Linked DNA regions of Saccharomyces cerevisiae S288C. Changing the gene in region 1 together with any one later gene gives a genetic interaction. Each region holds a gene or a part of one and is shown in the gene's direction. Other genes may lie near its edges.

Region 1 (3,540 bases):
ATGCGTCCGTTATGAATGCAGTTGGGGCATGTGGCCTACAACTATACAATTTCGGTCAAACCGTTTCCATGGTTTTCTTTACCGATAATTGGAGACCAGACTCATGGTACGACAAGATCTGGGAAAATAGAAAAATTGGCCTTCATACTTTAGTGTTATTGGACATCAAAGTTAAGGAACAAAGCATTGAAAATATGGCCCGTGGCAGACTAATCTACGAACCACCAAGATACATGTCTATCGCTCAATGTTGTGAACAATTATTAGAAATTGAAGAGAAAAGAGGTACAAAGGCATACACTCCTGATACTCCAGCAGTCGCAATTAGTAGATTAGGCTCGAGCTCCCAAAGCTTTAAGTCTGGTACCATAAGTGAGTTAGCCAATTACGATTCAGGAGAGCCACTTCATTCGCTTGTCATCCTCGGCAGACAATGTCATGAATTGGAGCTGGAATACCTGCTAGAGTTTGCCGACGACAAAGAAAAGTTTGGGAAAGATGTGGCAAATGACCAAGAGTACTTCAAACCTGCGGCATGGGTCCCACCCACAGAAGACGACAGCGACGAGTAAAGGTAATGCACACGCTCATGTGTAGTTTCTTTTTTATAATGTATATTGAATAGATCCTTTCAGTCGGGTAACAATTCGATCCCAAACGAATCGGGCCCTAACGATATGTGTAAAAATGGCAATGAATGAACAAGAAGTTATAACAACAATTTCAGCCAAGAACAAGAGCGATCCTGGAGGAGATTATATACGGATACACAGGTACACAAGATGACGCAATTAAAATATTTGTTGCTGGTTTCTAGGCAAGGAAAAATCAGATTAAAGAAATGGTACACGGCAATGTCCGCTGGTGAAAAGGCAAAAATTGTGAAAGACTTGACACCTACGATATTAGCAAGAAAACCCAAAATGTGTAACATCATCGAGTATAATGACCACAAAGTAGTATACAAGCGATATGCTAGTCTATATTTTATTGTTGGGATGACGCCCGATGTTGACAATGAACTGCTGACCTTGGAAATTATCCATCGGTTTGTCGAAACAATGGACACATATTTCGGCAATGTTTGTGAGCTAGACATTATATTTAACTTCAGTAAGGTCTACGATATCTTGAATGAGATGATTATGTGCGATGGCTCCATCGCAGAGAGCAGTAGGAAGGAAGTACTGCACCATGTGACCGTGATGGACACCATGGAGAGCAACGATAATCTTGAAAGGGTATTGAGTTAGGACCACTAAAAAACAATGGAATGAAGAAGAAAGGAGAAGAATAAGATGAGAAGGGGGCAAGGGGCCCTACTATTATTACCGTCTGTCGCAAAAGCCGTTGCCCGGACAAAAATATCTTTTGCGAGCATCGGCACAACGTTGATTGGTCAGAGCGGTAAAAAGGAATGAATGTGAAAAATGTAAAGAATATATAGGCGATAAAATTATCATGCGAAGTGATGTACATATTTTTGAATTTAAGCATCAATAGGACGAAAGAATAGATTTCAGACTAAGATAAAATAATCGAGAATAATTAAAAGACGATAATGAAATTGTTTCAAAACAGTTACGATTTCAACTATCCATGGGACCAGGTAACCGCCGCTAACTGGAAAAAATACCCAAATGAAATATCTACACATGTCATCGCAGTGGACGTTTTAAGAAGAGAATTGAAGGATCAAGGTAAGGTCTTAGTTACTGAACGGTTGATTACTGTAAAACAAGGTGTTCCCAAATGGATCATGATGATGCTAGGAGGGACCAATATGAGTCATGTCAGAGAAGTTTCTGTGGTAGACTTAAATAAAAAGAGCTTGACCATGAGAAGCTGTAATTTAACGATGTGCAATCTATTAAAAGTCTACGAAACTGTAACATATAGCCCGCATCCCGATGACTCGGCTAATAAAACACTTTTCCAGCAGGAAGCCCAAATTACAGCATATGGATCCATTAGAAAGCTGTGTAATAAGATGGAAGATTGGTCAGTTCAAAGGTTTTGCGAGAACGCTAAAAAGGGTAAAATGGGATTCGATGCTGTTTTGCAAGTATTTAGTGAAAATTGGGAAAAACATGTTGATGACTTGAGCAATCAACTTGTCAGTAAAGTCAATGAAACCATGGAGGATGTTAAAATATCTGCAGGTACGCTTCTTAAAGGAACTGAAAGGAGCGGCAGAACCATCTTACAGCAAAATATTGACTTGTTTAGAGACGCATACAACCACGAAAATTAGAGATACAAATTCCTTGATCCCGCATGGCACTGCATACTACTTATATTCCTCTACTGTCTATCTATTCATTTGTTCTTTTGTTGTAAATAGAAAAGTAAATAATGACAATATTAAAAGCCTTTTTCAAAATTTAACGATCAATTAAAATATATAAGTTTTAAAAATACTTTACTTAAGCGTTAACCTTGTAGACGGAATGACACTTACCACAGTACAATCTGTCCTTGTGGTTAGCCAAGAAAACACCAGCACCACAAGTTGGGTTGCTACATTCTCTTCTCAATTTGGTAACCTTACCTTCAGCATCGACCTTGTAGTAGGACAAGACAGCCAACTTGACCTTCTTGTGCTTGTGCTTGATCTTCTTTGGGGTGGTGTAGACCTTCTTCTTTCTCTTCTTACCACCACCTCTCAATCTCAAGACCAAGTGTAGAGTAGATTCCTTTTGGATGTTGTAGTCGGACAAAGTTCTACCATCTTCCAATTGCTTACCAGCAAAGATCAATCTTTGTTGGTCAGGTGGAATACCTTCCTTGTCTTGGATCTTGGACTTGACATTGTCAATAGTGTCAGAAGATTCAACTTCCAGGGTAATAGTCTTACCGGTTAAAGTCTTGACGAAAATTTGCATCTTGGCTTGTCGGCAAAATTAAAAATTAACTGCTTCTTTCTTACCAAGTAATCTTGTGACTTCTTTGTATTGGAATAAAAGATAGAAGTAAGGAAGTTTCTGATATAACGAACATCTCAAAATATTTAAACCATTTAATAAGTCTAAAAGTATCTAGTTTTTCATTTTGATGAGTTCCCACCGCTTGAAAAAGTGCGCCCGGGCCAAAAAAAAAAGTTTGTACTAAAATAAATGATAAATGATAAACCCAATTCCTTACAGGATGCACGGAGGTAAACAGGAAAGATATCTCAAGAACTTCTCGTTCATTAACCCCAGGTAGATCGCACTAAAGACTTCACCACTATTGATAAAGGTTTTGTAGAATATTTATTATCGATACCTTGCGGTTGCAAATTAATATACCCATCAAATAATTAACCCCAACCAAGTTTAATTTCTCTCCTTTCAACAAATGGGGAGGCTCAAATGTTTTTACTTACTTGAAACACTCTTTTGATTTGCTACAAAATAATCAAGCAGCGATATTTAATATGAAATTCTACCTTTAAAATTACTCCTATGACTCCACATGCATGGGGGAGGGGTAAGATGCGCAGTCAAATCAGAGAGAAATGTTATGTAGCAAAGATAATGAGTGCGTCTGAATAAAACT
Region 2 (5,845 bases), on another chromosome or scaffold:
ATCACGCGAACCCCGTCAACCGTGATGAACGAGATATGAACCATTCAGTTCCCGATTTAGATAGAAATGACCATACTATAATGAACGATGCTATGTTGAGCCTCGAAGATAACGTCATGGCCGCTCTAGAAATGGTCCAAAAGGAACAACAACAGAAGATAAATCATCGAGGTGAAGATGTGACTGGCCAACAAATCGATTTGAACAACAGTGAAGGTAATGAGAATTCAGTCACTAAGATTGTTAACAACGAATCTAATACATTTACAGAGCACAATTCTAATATTTATTATTAAATTGCGACTCTGCCAGAGACGGTCACATCACCAACCCTAGAAACTATAAAGTTTGTACAGAAAAAAGGTACATTTAATGATGCGTCCACTTTTGGAACAGGGTTGACAAGTCTTAAATCTTATTTCAGAAGTGATTTTTGAAGTAAAATTGGAAACTGAAATTGGAAACAAGGCACTCAACTCAATTATGCTTGCATGACGAAAGGTTCTGTTACAGTTTTACGTTGAAACCTAGGTACTGCAGAAATCCATAATCGGAGATAAATAACTAAGCTTTGTGCTGCAAAATTTTCCAGATTAGGAAACCTGATCCTCAGTGCCCTTTTAAGTACTGCTGTATCTGATGCCGTGAACGAGACACTATTGGCTGCGTGGGCACGTACCAAGTATACTCATCAAAATTTGTCTTAGGTTTTCCGATGCGGAAAATGGCAGCGCACAATTTAAATAGAAAAGGAGTTAAATGTACAGCAGCAAAATCAGTCACTCACGGAGAAAAGCTACGGTAGCGTAACGAAGAGCACATTGCTACTAGCAGCCAGCTAGATAATTGCAGCAGTGTACAGTTTACGCGACAATAAAGAAAGCATGATTTTCTTTTTCAACCAGATCCGTTCAATATTTACAGCTTTGCATACGCCAACTCAACAGATCCAATTATCAAGAAGGGCCTTTTTCCAATTCTTAGGCTATTTGGGTAGTTGTGTTGTGATTTCATTAGCAGCTCAATCGAAATACGTGCAGTAAGAAATGAAATAATGACCTGCAACAGTCCTTCTTGAGATGGAATGAAGTAATTGCTCTTTGAACGAGAGCACAAAAGCAAGCAGAAGTCGCGTATGTCAAGCCCATGATATAGCTGCTTAGATATATAGGTAGATATAAATAAGCACAATGGCTACAGTAATTGTGCGGTGCAGGGAGGCAATGTTTAGTGCATCTCCTCTACATCATTTCTATTTTTAATCTCGTCCACGAGAACGATTTAAGGAAATGGGGCTTCAAAAATAAAAAAATCAAATGAAAGTAATAATCTTTCAGCTTAGACTTATTTTTAGTTGAAACACTTGAATAAGAGTGCAGACACTCAATCGTGGTGTAGCTACAAGAACATATGGTGGCGTGTTTCTGCTGCAACTGTCAAGATCGTCTGTGTCTTAATGAGGTGATATATAGAACTGCTGAATACGGAGCCGTTTGTCTTTTACTGCGGGATTAACTTCAACAGCTACGGCCGAAGCCAATTCTGGCAAAAGGCAATGACTAAGTCTTGTTTCTCATGTAGATTACTATTTTGAGCGTGTTGCTTTTCTGTTCCCCTTGAGCATAGCAGCAGGCACGGAAGCATACAGAATATTCACTAACATGAGAACAACTCATTACTAGACTACTACCAGTTACTACACATCGATACAACTCCCCAGAAATATCACTGTTGAGAGTTCATGTCAAGACGTAGTATAGTATTGCAACAGGAAAAAAAAATCTTATTGCGTAGCACTCTGTATCTATTTTATATATCTGTTTCTATATTTGATTAATCTCTTGTTATCTTGGTGATGATCGCACAAGTATGTACTCCTGTATCTGCAAGAATATCTGTTTTAAACTTTTCAAAGCAAGGAAACCCCGTCTTATATAGGTTATCCGCAAAGGTCACATTTTCTTGCAAATAGAAGAAAAAGCACCCACAAGCACACTAACACAGTGCCAGAGCAAAACTATATCCTTTGCATCCGATCTCAAACGCTGTTCTTATCGCATCTGTCTTCGTCCTTTCATCTGCATTTACCTTTTCTTTTTCATCCTCTATTTGCCTTTTCATTAGTGGCAATTTTTCCAGTTTTTTCCCTCTGCGTCCCGTTGCACCTGAAAGGATCTTTCTAACGTGTGTTGTCTACTAGTGAGCGATTTCGTGAGCCATACACGTTCTATAGAAAATTGAATAAACTTTACTTCAAAGGGATCTGGACACAGAGATAACTGCTTACCTGCTTGCCGGAAGAAAAGAATTACTAAAAAAGAAGACAAGGGTAGCTGCTATTGTGGGTACACGTTTCACAGAACTACTTTTTCCTTGTCCTTCTCCAGACATCAACGTCATACAACTAAAACTGATAAAGTACCCGTTTTTCCGTACATTTCTATAGATACATTATTATATTAAGCAGATCGAGACGTTAATTTCTCAAAGATGGAAGACAAGTTTGCTAACCTCAGTCTCCATGAGAAAACTGGTAAGTCATCTATCCAATTAAACGAGCAAACAGGCTCAGATAATGGCTCTGCTGTCAAGAGAACATCTTCGACGTCCTCGCACTACAATAACATCAACGCTGACCTTCATGCTCGTGTAAAAGCTTTTCAAGAACAACGTGCATTGAAAAGGTCTGCCAGCGTGGGCAGTAATCAAAGCGAGCAAGACAAAGGCAGTTCACAATCACCTAAACATATTCAGCAGATTGTTAATAAGCCATTGCCGCCTCTTCCCGTAGCAGGAAGTTCTAAGGTTTCACAAAGAATGAGTAGCCAAGTCGTGCAAGCGTCCTCCAAGAGCACTCTTAAGAACGTTCTGGACAATCAAGAAACACAAAACATTACCGACGTAAATATTAACATCGATACAACCAAAATTACCGCCACAACAATTGGTGTAAATACTGGCCTACCTGCTACTGACATTACGCCGTCAGTTTCTAATACTGCATCAGCAACACATAAGGCGCAATTGCTGAATCCTAACAGAAGGGCACCAAGAAGGCCGCTTTCTACCCAGCACCCTACAAGACCAAATGTTGCCCCGCATAAGGCCCCTGCTATAATCAACACACCAAAACAAAGTTTAAGTGCCCGTCGAGGGCTCAAATTACCACCAGGAGGAATGTCATTAAAAATGCCCACTAAAACAGCTCAACAGCCGCAGCAGTTTGCCCCAAGCCCTTCAAACAAAAAACATATAGAAACCTTATCAAACAGCAAAGTTGTTGAAGGGAAAAGATCGAATCCGGGTTCTTTGATAAATGGTGTGCAAAGCACATCCACCTCATCAAGTACCGAAGGCCCACATGACACTGTAGGCACTACACCCAGAACTGGAAACAGCAACAACTCTTCAAATTCTGGTAGTAGTGGTGGTGGTGGTCTTTTCGCAAATTTCTCGAAATACGTGGATATCAAATCCGGCTCTTTGAATTTTGCAGGCAAACTATCGCTATCCTCTAAAGGAATAGATTTCAGCAATGGTTCTAGTTCGAGAATTACATTGGACGAACTAGAATTTTTGGATGAACTGGGTCATGGTAACTATGGTAACGTCTCAAAGGTACTGCATAAGCCCACAAATGTTATTATGGCGACGAAGGAAGTCCGTTTGGAGCTAGATGAGGCTAAATTTAGACAAATTTTAATGGAACTAGAAGTTTTGCATAAATGCAATTCTCCCTATATTGTGGATTTTTATGGTGCATTCTTTATTGAGGGCGCCGTCTACATGTGTATGGAATACATGGATGGTGGTTCCTTGGATAAAATATACGACGAATCATCTGAAATCGGCGGCATTGATGAACCTCAGCTAGCGTTTATTGCCAATGCTGTCATTCATGGACTAAAAGAACTCAAAGAGCAGCATAATATCATACACAGAGATGTCAAACCAACAAATATTTTATGTTCAGCCAACCAAGGCACCGTAAAGCTGTGCGATTTCGGTGTTTCTGGTAATTTGGTGGCATCTTTAGCGAAGACTAATATTGGTTGTCAGTCATACATGGCACCTGAACGAATCAAATCGTTGAATCCAGATAGAGCCACCTATACCGTACAGTCAGACATCTGGTCTTTAGGTTTAAGCATTCTGGAAATGGCACTAGGTAGATATCCGTATCCACCAGAAACATACGACAACATTTTCTCTCAATTGAGCGCTATTGTTGATGGGCCGCCACCGAGATTACCTTCAGATAAATTCAGTTCTGACGCACAAGATTTTGTTTCTTTATGTCTACAAAAGATTCCGGAAAGAAGACCTACATACGCAGCTTTAACAGAGCATCCTTGGTTAGTAAAATACAGAAACCAGGATGTCCACATGAGTGAGTATATCACTGAACGATTAGAAAGGCGCAACAAAATCTTACGGGAACGTGGTGAGAATGGTTTATCTAAAAATGTACCGGCATTACATATGGGTGGTTTATAGCGTTAATATCCAAATAAAAGCAAACAGGCACGTGAATATAACAACAAAAAAAAAGCAGACGAAAAGCTACTGTGGAAATGATGCGGCGAATACAAAAAAACCTTACATATACATATGTTTATTGTAATAAACTTGCATTATACTCGTTATAGACATATATATATATATATATTCATATATATATATCGTCTGACTTCCTTTTGTCGAACCTAAAAAAGGGCACGAATTATGACAGAGTATTGAGGGGATGTTATTTCAAGCACCGGCAAGTGAAGCGATGTGGACGTCAATATATTGTGTTATTCGATTATTGCTACGGCCATCGACTCCTCGAAATTATTTACGTTCGGGGCTGACAACGCAAGAAAGAAAAAATGCTCTGGAATTGTCTGATGGTTTTTCCGCTCTTTACGGCTCAAGGCTAGGAAAGAAAAAAAAGTCCAAAATCATCGAGAAAATAAAAGGTGTTTTGAAAGTTCAAATCCACGTTATTGAGAGTAGATGTGGAGTCTGGACCAGGAACTATACCTGTATCTTACCCTAACTTCTAAATTTTGCTACTTTCACGGAAAACAGTAAATAATTACCTATCAAGATAAAGAGCTCTTACATTATTAGAAACTTTTTGTTACTGTTGCTTTCCTTTCGCCCATTGTTTTTACCTTACCATTAGCATCACTGATTCCACACTTGTATTGCCTTAAAAAGAAGGAGGGTATTCTATTGGCTCTCAAGGAAGTCATTCCTATCCATTTTACTTAAAGTTATTACCTTTTTTTGATAACTAACAATGCATTTTAGAAGAACGATGAGTAGAGTGCCCACATTGGCATCTCTTGAAATACGATATAAAAAATCTTTCGGCCATAAATTTCGTGATTTTATTGCTCTATGTGGTCACTATTTTGCTCCAGTTAAAAAATATATCTTCCCCAGTTTTATCGCGGTTCACTACTTCTACACGATATCCCTGACATTAATAACTTCAATCCTGCTATATCCCATTAAGAATACCAGATACATTGATACATTGTTTTTAGCAGCGGGCGCAGTTACACAAGGTGGCTTAAATACTGTGGATATCAACAATCTAAGCTTATACCAACAAATTGTTCTGTATATCGTATGCTGCATATCAACACCAATTGCAGTTCATAGTTGCTTGGCATTTGTACGGCTTTACTGGTTTGAGCGCTACTTCGATGGTATTAGAGACTCTTCTAGACGAAATTTTAAGATGAGAAGAACGAAAACAATCTTAGAAAGGGAACTAACAGCAAGAACCATGACCAAGAATAGAACAGGTACCCAAAGAACGTCTTATCCTAGGAAACAAGCTAAAACAGAT
Region 3 (4,178 bases), on another chromosome or scaffold:
TACGGGATCGTGGCGAATGGGAATCGTTCTGCAAGCTCTTCTACCAAACCATCGGCGAATTTGCGTCGCTTTAATGCGATACTGCCGTAGCGGGCCTTCGTATAGCTCGGCCGAGCTCGTACAAAAGGCAAGCAGTGTATCGGACAGAGCTGATATAACACAATACGCTCGTAGTCGATGCATGCCGTGGCTGCTCTCGGTCGGGTATAAGTCTTAGACAATAGTCTTACCTCGCATGTATAATAAATCTTTTGTATTTAATCTATTATATGTTTCTATGCTTTTTTTTCCTATTGTTGTTTGCTTTTCCTTTTCCTTATTTCTTTCTAGCTTCTAATTTTCTTTCTTTTTTTTTTTTTTTTCATTGAAAATTATATATATATATATATATCAGAACAATTGTCCAGTATTGAACAATACAGGTTATTTCGAACAATTGAAAAAAAAAAATCACAGAAAAACATATCGAGAAAAGGGTCATGTCTGCTGTTAACGTTGCACCTGAATTGATTAATGCCGACAACACAATTACCTACGATGCGATTGTCATCGGTGCTGGTGTTATCGGTCCATGTGTTGCTACTGGTCTAGCAAGAAAGGGTAAGAAAGTTCTTATCGTAGAACGTGACTGGGCTATGCCTGATAGAATTGTTGGTGAATTGATGCAACCAGGTGGTGTTAGAGCATTGAGAAGTCTGGGTATGATTCAATCTATCAACAACATCGAAGCATATCCTGTTACCGGTTATACCGTCTTTTTCAACGGCGAACAAGTTGATATTCCATACCCTTACAAGGCCGATATCCCTAAAGTTGAAAAATTGAAGGACTTGGTCAAAGATGGTAATGACAAGGTCTTGGAAGACAGCACTATTCACATCAAGGATTACGAAGATGATGAAAGAGAAAGGGGTGTTGCTTTTGTTCATGGTAGATTCTTGAACAACTTGAGAAACATTACTGCTCAAGAGCCAAATGTTACTAGAGTGCAAGGTAACTGTATTGAGATATTGAAGGATGAAAAGAATGAGGTTGTTGGTGCCAAGGTTGACATTGATGGCCGTGGCAAGGTGGAATTCAAAGCCCACTTGACATTTATCTGTGACGGTATCTTTTCACGTTTCAGAAAGGAATTGCACCCAGACCATGTTCCAACTGTCGGTTCTTCGTTTGTCGGTATGTCTTTGTTCAATGCTAAGAATCCTGCTCCTATGCACGGTCACGTTATTCTTGGTAGTGATCATATGCCAATCTTGGTTTACCAAATCAGTCCAGAAGAAACAAGAATCCTTTGTGCTTACAACTCTCCAAAGGTCCCAGCTGATATCAAGAGTTGGATGATTAAGGATGTCCAACCTTTCATTCCAAAGAGTCTACGTCCTTCATTTGATGAAGCCGTCAGCCAAGGTAAATTTAGAGCTATGCCAAACTCCTACTTGCCAGCTAGACAAAACGACGTCACTGGTATGTGTGTTATCGGTGACGCTCTAAATATGAGACATCCATTGACTGGTGGTGGTATGACTGTCGGTTTGCATGATGTTGTCTTGTTGATTAAGAAAATAGGTGACCTAGACTTCAGCGACCGTGAAAAGGTTTTGGATGAATTACTAGACTACCATTTCGAAAGAAAGAGTTACGATTCCGTTATTAACGTTTTGTCAGTGGCTTTGTATTCTTTGTTCGCTGCTGACAGCGATAACTTGAAGGCATTACAAAAAGGTTGTTTCAAATATTTCCAAAGAGGTGGCGATTGTGTCAACAAACCCGTTGAATTTCTGTCTGGTGTCTTGCCAAAGCCTTTGCAATTGACCAGGGTTTTCTTCGCTGTCGCTTTTTACACCATTTACTTGAACATGGAAGAACGTGGTTTCTTGGGATTACCAATGGCTTTATTGGAAGGTATTATGATTTTGATCACAGCTATTAGAGTATTCACCCCATTTTTGTTTGGTGAGTTGATTGGTTAACTACAGCTTATAAGGGAGAGAGGATAGGAACCGTCAAACATTAAGCTGCACCTTTTTTTTTTATTACAGAAGTCGGCTTGGAAGGCTTGTATAGTACATTACGATAAACACATCTTATTTTTATTTATTACTTATTTATTTTACATATTTTCAAAAAAATTCACATATCATTTATTATTAACCGAAGTGTTTTATACTTTTTGTTCTTTCCTTAAAAATGCCTCCAACAGAAAAGGAAAAATGGCTTGATATGCTTCAAAATATGCATTGAGATTCATATTCGGTTATCAATTAACGATATTACTTCCTTAAGTGATATTAAATCAAGCTTGCCGGATTCTGCAGTCAGAATTATACATAATAGTATTTGTGCTCTCGTAAATCCTTTCAGAATTACACCATAGTAGTCTTTGTGAATGTTCTACTTATTAGAATAGATTATTGCTAGTTTATCTCACTTTTCATTCCCCATATCCCTTTTTTTGCTCATCCCCCGGGGTATTTTATCAAGATAAAATTTTATATACATGCAGTGCGCGATAACTCCTAGAGAGGCAGTAATAGCAAAACAAAGACAGTATAAGCATTATTTGGGTATGGAAAGACCATTGTGGGTACGTTGGTTGAAAGTCTATGCAATTGGTGGCGCTATTATTGGAAGCGGGTTTCTGCTTTTCAAGTACACAACGCCAACAGATCAACAGTTAATCAGCCAGCTTTCCCCAGAATTACGTTTACAATATGAGAGGGAGAAAAAACTACGTCAGTCGGAGCAGCAGGCTTTGATGAAAATTGTTAAGGAAACTTCTCAAAGTGACGATCCAATTTGGAAGACGGGCCCCCTTCAATCACCTTGGGAAAGGAACGGTGATAACGTTCAAAGCAGAGATCACTTTGCTAAGGTGAGGGCGGAGGAGGTGCAAAAAGAAGAGTTGGCTAGGATCAGAAATGAACTGTCTCAGCTAAGATCTGAAACGGAGGAGAAAACAAAGGAAATAGTCCAGGATAAGCAGGTTAAAAGCTGGTGGCGCTTCTGGTAGATGGGTCGGGTCACTCAATTAGGAAGGGCAGCTTGAACTTTTGCATCCTAAAACATACGTCTGTGTCATTTATGATATATTATTTATTTGTACACTGTAAATAGGTTTAAAAATATAACTTCATACTTATTTTTAGCTATTTTAGTTCCCATACTTGGGGATGGAAAAAACATTGCGCAAGCCCGGAATCGAACCGGGGGCCCAACGATGGCAACGTTGGATTTTACCACTAAACCACTTGCGCTTGTTATTTATATGAGATTATTGCATCATGCAATGGGGTAATGTCAAGGTTCTTGACAATCCTAATATAAACAGTCTTAGGGAAGTAACCAGTTGTCAAAACGGTTTATCAGCTTGATTCACGGGATCTTACTTATCCTATATATTATATAAAATATGGATCATACTAAATGGTGGAAGCGCGGAATCTTGGATCTAAACCAATTGTTCAGATACTTATACGTTAGAGTAGGTTAGCTAAGGAAGGCAGAGTTTTATTTTCATGTTGCTCATTCTGTTCGTTTTGCTGTAAGGTTGTTTCATATGTGTTTTATGAACGTTTAGGATGATGTATTGTCATACTGAGGTATCCCATTCTGAGATACAACAGAGAAGGTTCCTTTATACTTACTACACTAGGTACCACTATTATAATTTCGAGATTTCATTGTCATTCGGGTTTATTTATTCATTTGAAGCCCAGAATGACAATTTTTATGAACGGAGCTCTTCAAATTACATTATAAAAGTATATACGAATATACCATGAAAGTAACACCTTCCGGTTCTCACTAAAAAACCTATTTTCAGCATTTATTTCTACTACAAGGAAAATGAGTCCGTTTAGTCATGCAAAATCTCTGCTCCGTACTACAGTTCTCGATGCTGATCTTGTTTTTTCATGTTTCTTTAAAATCTATTCATTTATACTATTTCGCGAATAAAGAAACTACATCTTCATCATCAATCCTGTGGTTTAAGCCGCACTTCTGAGGAGAATGTTTGGCAGAAGAACCCCAAACCAATGCGTATTTGAACTTATCTTTGAAATCCCTGTGGATACCATGACATAAGTCACCAATAGTGGAATTATTTCTTACCACTAGAGGATCATCAAATACTGGTCTAACACCTCTCTTCTTTGTATACACACGACTCAAGTTCA
Region 4 (4,199 bases), on another chromosome or scaffold:
AAAAGACGATGGATATATATATAATAGTCGTATTTAAGATATAACAGATAAAAAAATAATACATTCACCACGCTTGTTAAAAAGCATGCCGTATATTTCCCATAAATTGAACCATATTCTTAATAGTCTAAAGATATCTTGGTCTTCTTTGCAGGTATATTATGTGAGATTTCATCCGAGTGCGAGTGTGAATGTGACTGTTCCGAGGCAGCTGAACCTTCAGCATCATCCACGGGTATGCCCCATTGTTCTATTTCAAACTTTTTTCTGCCATTCTTAAATGCCCATTCAGACTTTAAAACTCTCATCTCTCCACGGTCCGTGAAAACTGGTAATTTCAATATGTGGACTAGCCCATGTTGAATCTTCCCCGGTTGCGATTTATAAACACGTTCTAAGAACTCAGTCATCTCCTGGTTAAAGGGTTCTAGATTGATAACAGAATCGAACATGTTTCTCAGCAATACCAGTAATGGGGGAGTGATAATGTCTATGGATATGGAAGCAAACAGTACAACCCGCTCATAGTATTTCTTGACAAGACTCCTCACACCGTGCATTAAACCTATTATTTCAGATGATTCAAACATTTTGGGCGGATACATTGCCGGATGTAGAAGGGAAGGAATAACAATTCTTATCAGTTTCTTGTCATTCCTTTTAATAGTCTGTTCTATTTGGCTCAAAATAGTGGAGACAGGTTGAGTTGGGGCGATAAATGTCAGTTCAGATGCTATGGGAGCGGGCATCAGACGCGTTGTAATATCAAACTGATGATTGTAGTCCTTGTACTCAGAATTTTGTTGGATGTCATCTCGATCCGGAGAACCCAATCTCTTTTCATCTGCCAGTTTATATTTCCATGCAATTTTCAGGTCTTTGTACCTGGAAGGCGTCGATCTCTGGGTCTCGTTCAAATTTTGAACAGTAACTTTTGATTCTTCTTCAGAGATTAGGTTTTTCTTCATTTGTTTACGTGATCCCTTGTAGATACCAGGTAGCTCCTTTGCAAACATTTGGTTCAATGACAAGACAATGACATGAGTGTCGCCGTTTCTAGTTTTATCAGCACTGCTATCTGAAATTCTATTATGAACGATACCCTGTGCGGCAAACAGTTTACCGAGAATAGAGTGAAATTCTGTCGTGCTCTGCTCCTCTACTAGTACAGAGTTTCCCAGCGGCAGCCCCATATGGCCTAGTATACTGTCCAGGTCAGCACTCCCAGTTGATGTCGTCGGCTGAGAGGTTGCAGGAGAAGGTCTAACGCCCACATGGGAGCTATCCAGCCCCATTTTTGTCTTGGATTCGTCCGCAATATTCAACTTCTTTAATCTCGCTGTAGTGTCAGACAAGGGCACATTTCCAGGGGCTCTTCTGTTGCCTGTCCTCAATGGCGTTGAGGAAGTTCGTGGAGGACCTCTTAACAGTGGACCTCTTAGCCCGCTACCTCTATCGTTCAGTATTTCACCTCTTTTACGAAATGACATGGTACATGCGATATTTGGGAGCCGAATTTGTTATACAATGTTGTTCTCTGCACCTCATCTCTAAACTATCCAGCCTCATCGACATCTTCATATGTCGTTTTTGTTATTTTAACAGTTTAGAGTTCATTCCATGCGCTTTACCCGGTCTGGCGTCAAAAGCCATCAATAACATAGCTACTATTGCGTCTGAGAGAAGTCGACCATAGGGAAGAACTTGCCATCTGGTTTTGAGTTAGTTAGAATTATCACTATTGAAGATAGCCCAGCAAAATGCTTGTGCAAGAAAGCACATCGTCTAGTGGCCTTTTTTGAAGAAAGAATTGGAACTACTTTAGAAATACATTTACCACAGTGAGTATATGACACTGATATTCTCCTTGATTATCGCCCAAAATACATTGTAGGCTTCAAAAAGATTAAAATATCAATTAAAAGAGAGAGAATAAATAGGTTAAGGCCCAAATTACAATAGCGGCCTCCTATTTGTCTTTTCCATTCGATGCGATATTTATCAGTATTATATGAGAACAAATGGTGGTATTATAAAAAAAAAATATTATAATGAGATATATGTCTGATTTTAATAATAAACTTTTTAGCTAATGATTCCTTCTGCGTTCATTTTCTGAATATTATCAACAGCTGCTAGTTTTTTTTTTCCTTTACTGTCGTTAAGCAGTTCCCGAAGACTCACTACTGATGCTTAACAAAAAAAAAAAAACGTAGTTCGAGAATAGCGAGAATATGGTGTGAACAGTAGCACTCCAATTACTGAAGGATTGCATGCCTGCTTGTGTTGCAAATGAATTTTGTTACCTGCCATGTTCAGATGAGGCTTCTTCTCCAAAGGAGACTAGTGCGTTTACGAGAATCAGAGCTGTTTAGACCCCAGACATCATTGTCAACTTTCAAAAGACATGCTTCGCAAAAGACACGCCCTATACAAAAATGCTCGAGAAAATACGCACGTATACTTCTGTTGTCTGTTTTGGTACCTTACACAGGATATGCGTTTTATGTATCATTGGCTACAGTGAAGCAAATTGATTTAAGAAACGAAATGTGTCAAAGATTAGAGGAGAATAATAACGAGGTCACTTATAAGGGATCCTTGCTAAAATATAGCCCTTTGGAAGTTTTAGGCAGATTTGAGAACCCGTTCGAAGAATACAGGATTCAGACCGTTTTTGAATTCTTTGCAAATAGAGTGTTCGAATTATTTGAAAGAAATAGGGGAGGTATTCCACGTGATGTACACCAAATGAATAAGTTAATGCCTGTACACAAGCCAACATGGGGGCCTAACTTAGTGGACGTCGACCCCGCAGAGGAAACGGCATTGCCGCTAGAATGCAAAGTGTTAGACGAATTGCACATACCGACTGCAGTAGAAGAAAATGAAGGATCAAAGTGCCCAGTCTATAACACATGGCTGGGCCAGTCCTGTAACTACACGGTTTATAATGGATTGAGGATACTTACTGATCCTCTGTTCAGTGACTTTCTTATCCACAAGACCCTGGGTCCTAAAAGAATTACTCAAATGCCATCTCAAATTACAGAGGTGCCCAAACCAGATATCATCCTTGTATCCCATAATCACCCCGATCACCTGGATTTAGAAAGCTTGGAATACTGGAGTGGCAAAGACTCTCCCTTATGGATAGTACCTAAAGGAATGAAATCTTATATGACAAGTAACGGCTGTGATAATGTCCTAGAATTATCTTGGTGGGAAACTTTGCAAGTAAAGAAAAACAATGAGATATACCACATATCGGCTACTCCTGCCATGCATTGGTCTGGGAGATCGCTCTTAGATACGAACAAGTCTCTATGGTGCTCCTTTTTATTAACACACCATGGTAATCCCATACTTTTTCATGCTGGTGACACTGGATATGTGAAAGATTTATTCGTTAGAATTAAAGAACGCTTTGGCAAAGGTTGTAAATTAGCGCTGCTTCCATGTGGTCAGTATTGCCCTGAGTGGCACCAAAAACCACGACATATTAATCCTCAAGAGGTTCTCAAGATTATGAAAGATCTAGAAGCTCGAAATGTATTAGGCGTTCATTGGGGGACCTTTGTATTAAGCGGAGAATATTTCTTAGAGCCAAAGGAAAAATTAGAAATGTTGGCCGAGTGGGGTGGGTTTAAAGACCGCTGCTACTGTCCAGAATTGGGCAAGACAGAATGCTTCGACTAACTTAGGCGCTAATATTTAAGCTGCAGCGTCCCTGTAAATAGCGATAAATTACAGTAAACGTAGACTTTGGGAGATTGTACTCACTGAACATTTTATGATTTAATGATTTTGTAATTTAAAAACATTCGTATGATATCCAATAAGATGTTATAAAGAAATTACAATTAATGTTGATAAAAAATCAATTCAAGTAATGGATATCGATTTGTTATTTCATCTCTTCATATACAAGGCAAACAAAATAGGTATAATATTTACAAGAAAAACCTACATACTGCAGCCACACTAAGATTCTCTCACATCTAGGTAACATCAACTTCTGCTCATTTTTTTGAATTACTATACTTGATATTGTAAGGTTCCAGAATGCTTTCAGGTATCACACTTGGACTCTTGACAACCAAATCAGCCCCGGTAATACTTTTTGGGAAGGCGATTACGTCCCTTATACTCTCAGTTTCACAGATCATAGCGCACATACGATCAAAACCAATAGCAAA

What was found.
Region 2: mutations in UPS2 (region 1) and PBS2 together harm fitness less than expected from each alone (positive genetic interaction), as found in Saccharomyces cerevisiae (2 studies listed by BioGRID).
Region 3: mutations in UPS2 (region 1) and CBP4 together harm fitness more than expected from each alone (negative genetic interaction), as found in Saccharomyces cerevisiae (2 studies listed by BioGRID).
Region 4: mutations in UPS2 (region 1) and FMP30 together harm fitness more than expected from each alone (negative genetic interaction), as found in Saccharomyces cerevisiae (3 studies listed by BioGRID, with this or other methods).

The regions. Positions count from the first base shown.
Region 1 is NC_001144.5:498,292-501,831, reverse strand, and holds UPS2 (Ups2p), read left to right. Parts: upstream 1-1,561; coding exon 1,562-2,254; downstream 2,255-3,540. Other genes in the region: DPH5 (diphthine synthase), read left to right, coding at 1-572; APS1 (Aps1p), read left to right, coding at 783-1,253; ubiquitin-40S ribosomal protein eS31 RPS31 fusion protein, read right to left, coding at 2,427-2,885. UniProt on the Saccharomyces cerevisiae protein: Required for mitochondrial cristae morphogenesis and MGM1-processing. Controls the stability of mitochondrial phosphatidylethanolamine (PE). With UPS1, controls the level of cardiolipin in mitochondria.
Region 2 is NC_001142.9:176,749-182,593, reverse strand, and holds PBS2 (mitogen-activated protein kinase kinase PBS2), read left to right. Parts: upstream 1-2,490; coding exon 2,491-4,497; downstream 4,498-5,845. Other genes in the region: SPT10 (Spt10p), read left to right, coding at 1-296; MCO6 (Mco6p), read left to right, coding at 885-1,043; TRK1 (Trk1p), read left to right, coding at 5,288-5,845. UniProt on the Saccharomyces cerevisiae protein: Kinase involved in a signal transduction pathway that is activated by changes in the osmolarity of the extracellular environment. Activates the MAP kinase HOG1 by concomitant phosphorylation at 'Thr-174' and 'Tyr-176'.
Region 3 is NC_001139.9:844,725-848,902, reverse strand, and holds CBP4 (Cbp4p), read left to right. Parts: upstream 1-2,497; coding exon 2,498-3,010; downstream 3,011-4,178. Other genes in the region: ATF2 (alcohol O-acetyltransferase), read left to right, coding at 1-74; ERG1 (squalene monooxygenase), read left to right, coding at 480-1,970; YGR174W-A (uncharacterized protein), read right to left, coding at 2,162-2,248; RBG2 (Rbg2p), read right to left, coding at 3,943-4,178.
Region 4 is NC_001148.4:357,500-361,698, reverse strand, and holds FMP30 (N-acetylphosphatidylethanolamine-hydrolyzing phospholipase D), read left to right. Parts: upstream 1-2,292; coding exon 2,293-3,699; downstream 3,700-4,199. Other genes in the region: Elongator subunit ELP4, read right to left, coding at 120-1,490; aspartate--tRNA ligase MSD1, read right to left, coding at 4,023-4,199. UniProt on the Saccharomyces cerevisiae protein: Hydrolyzes N-acyl-phosphatidylethanolamines (NAPEs) to produce N-acylethanolamines (NAEs).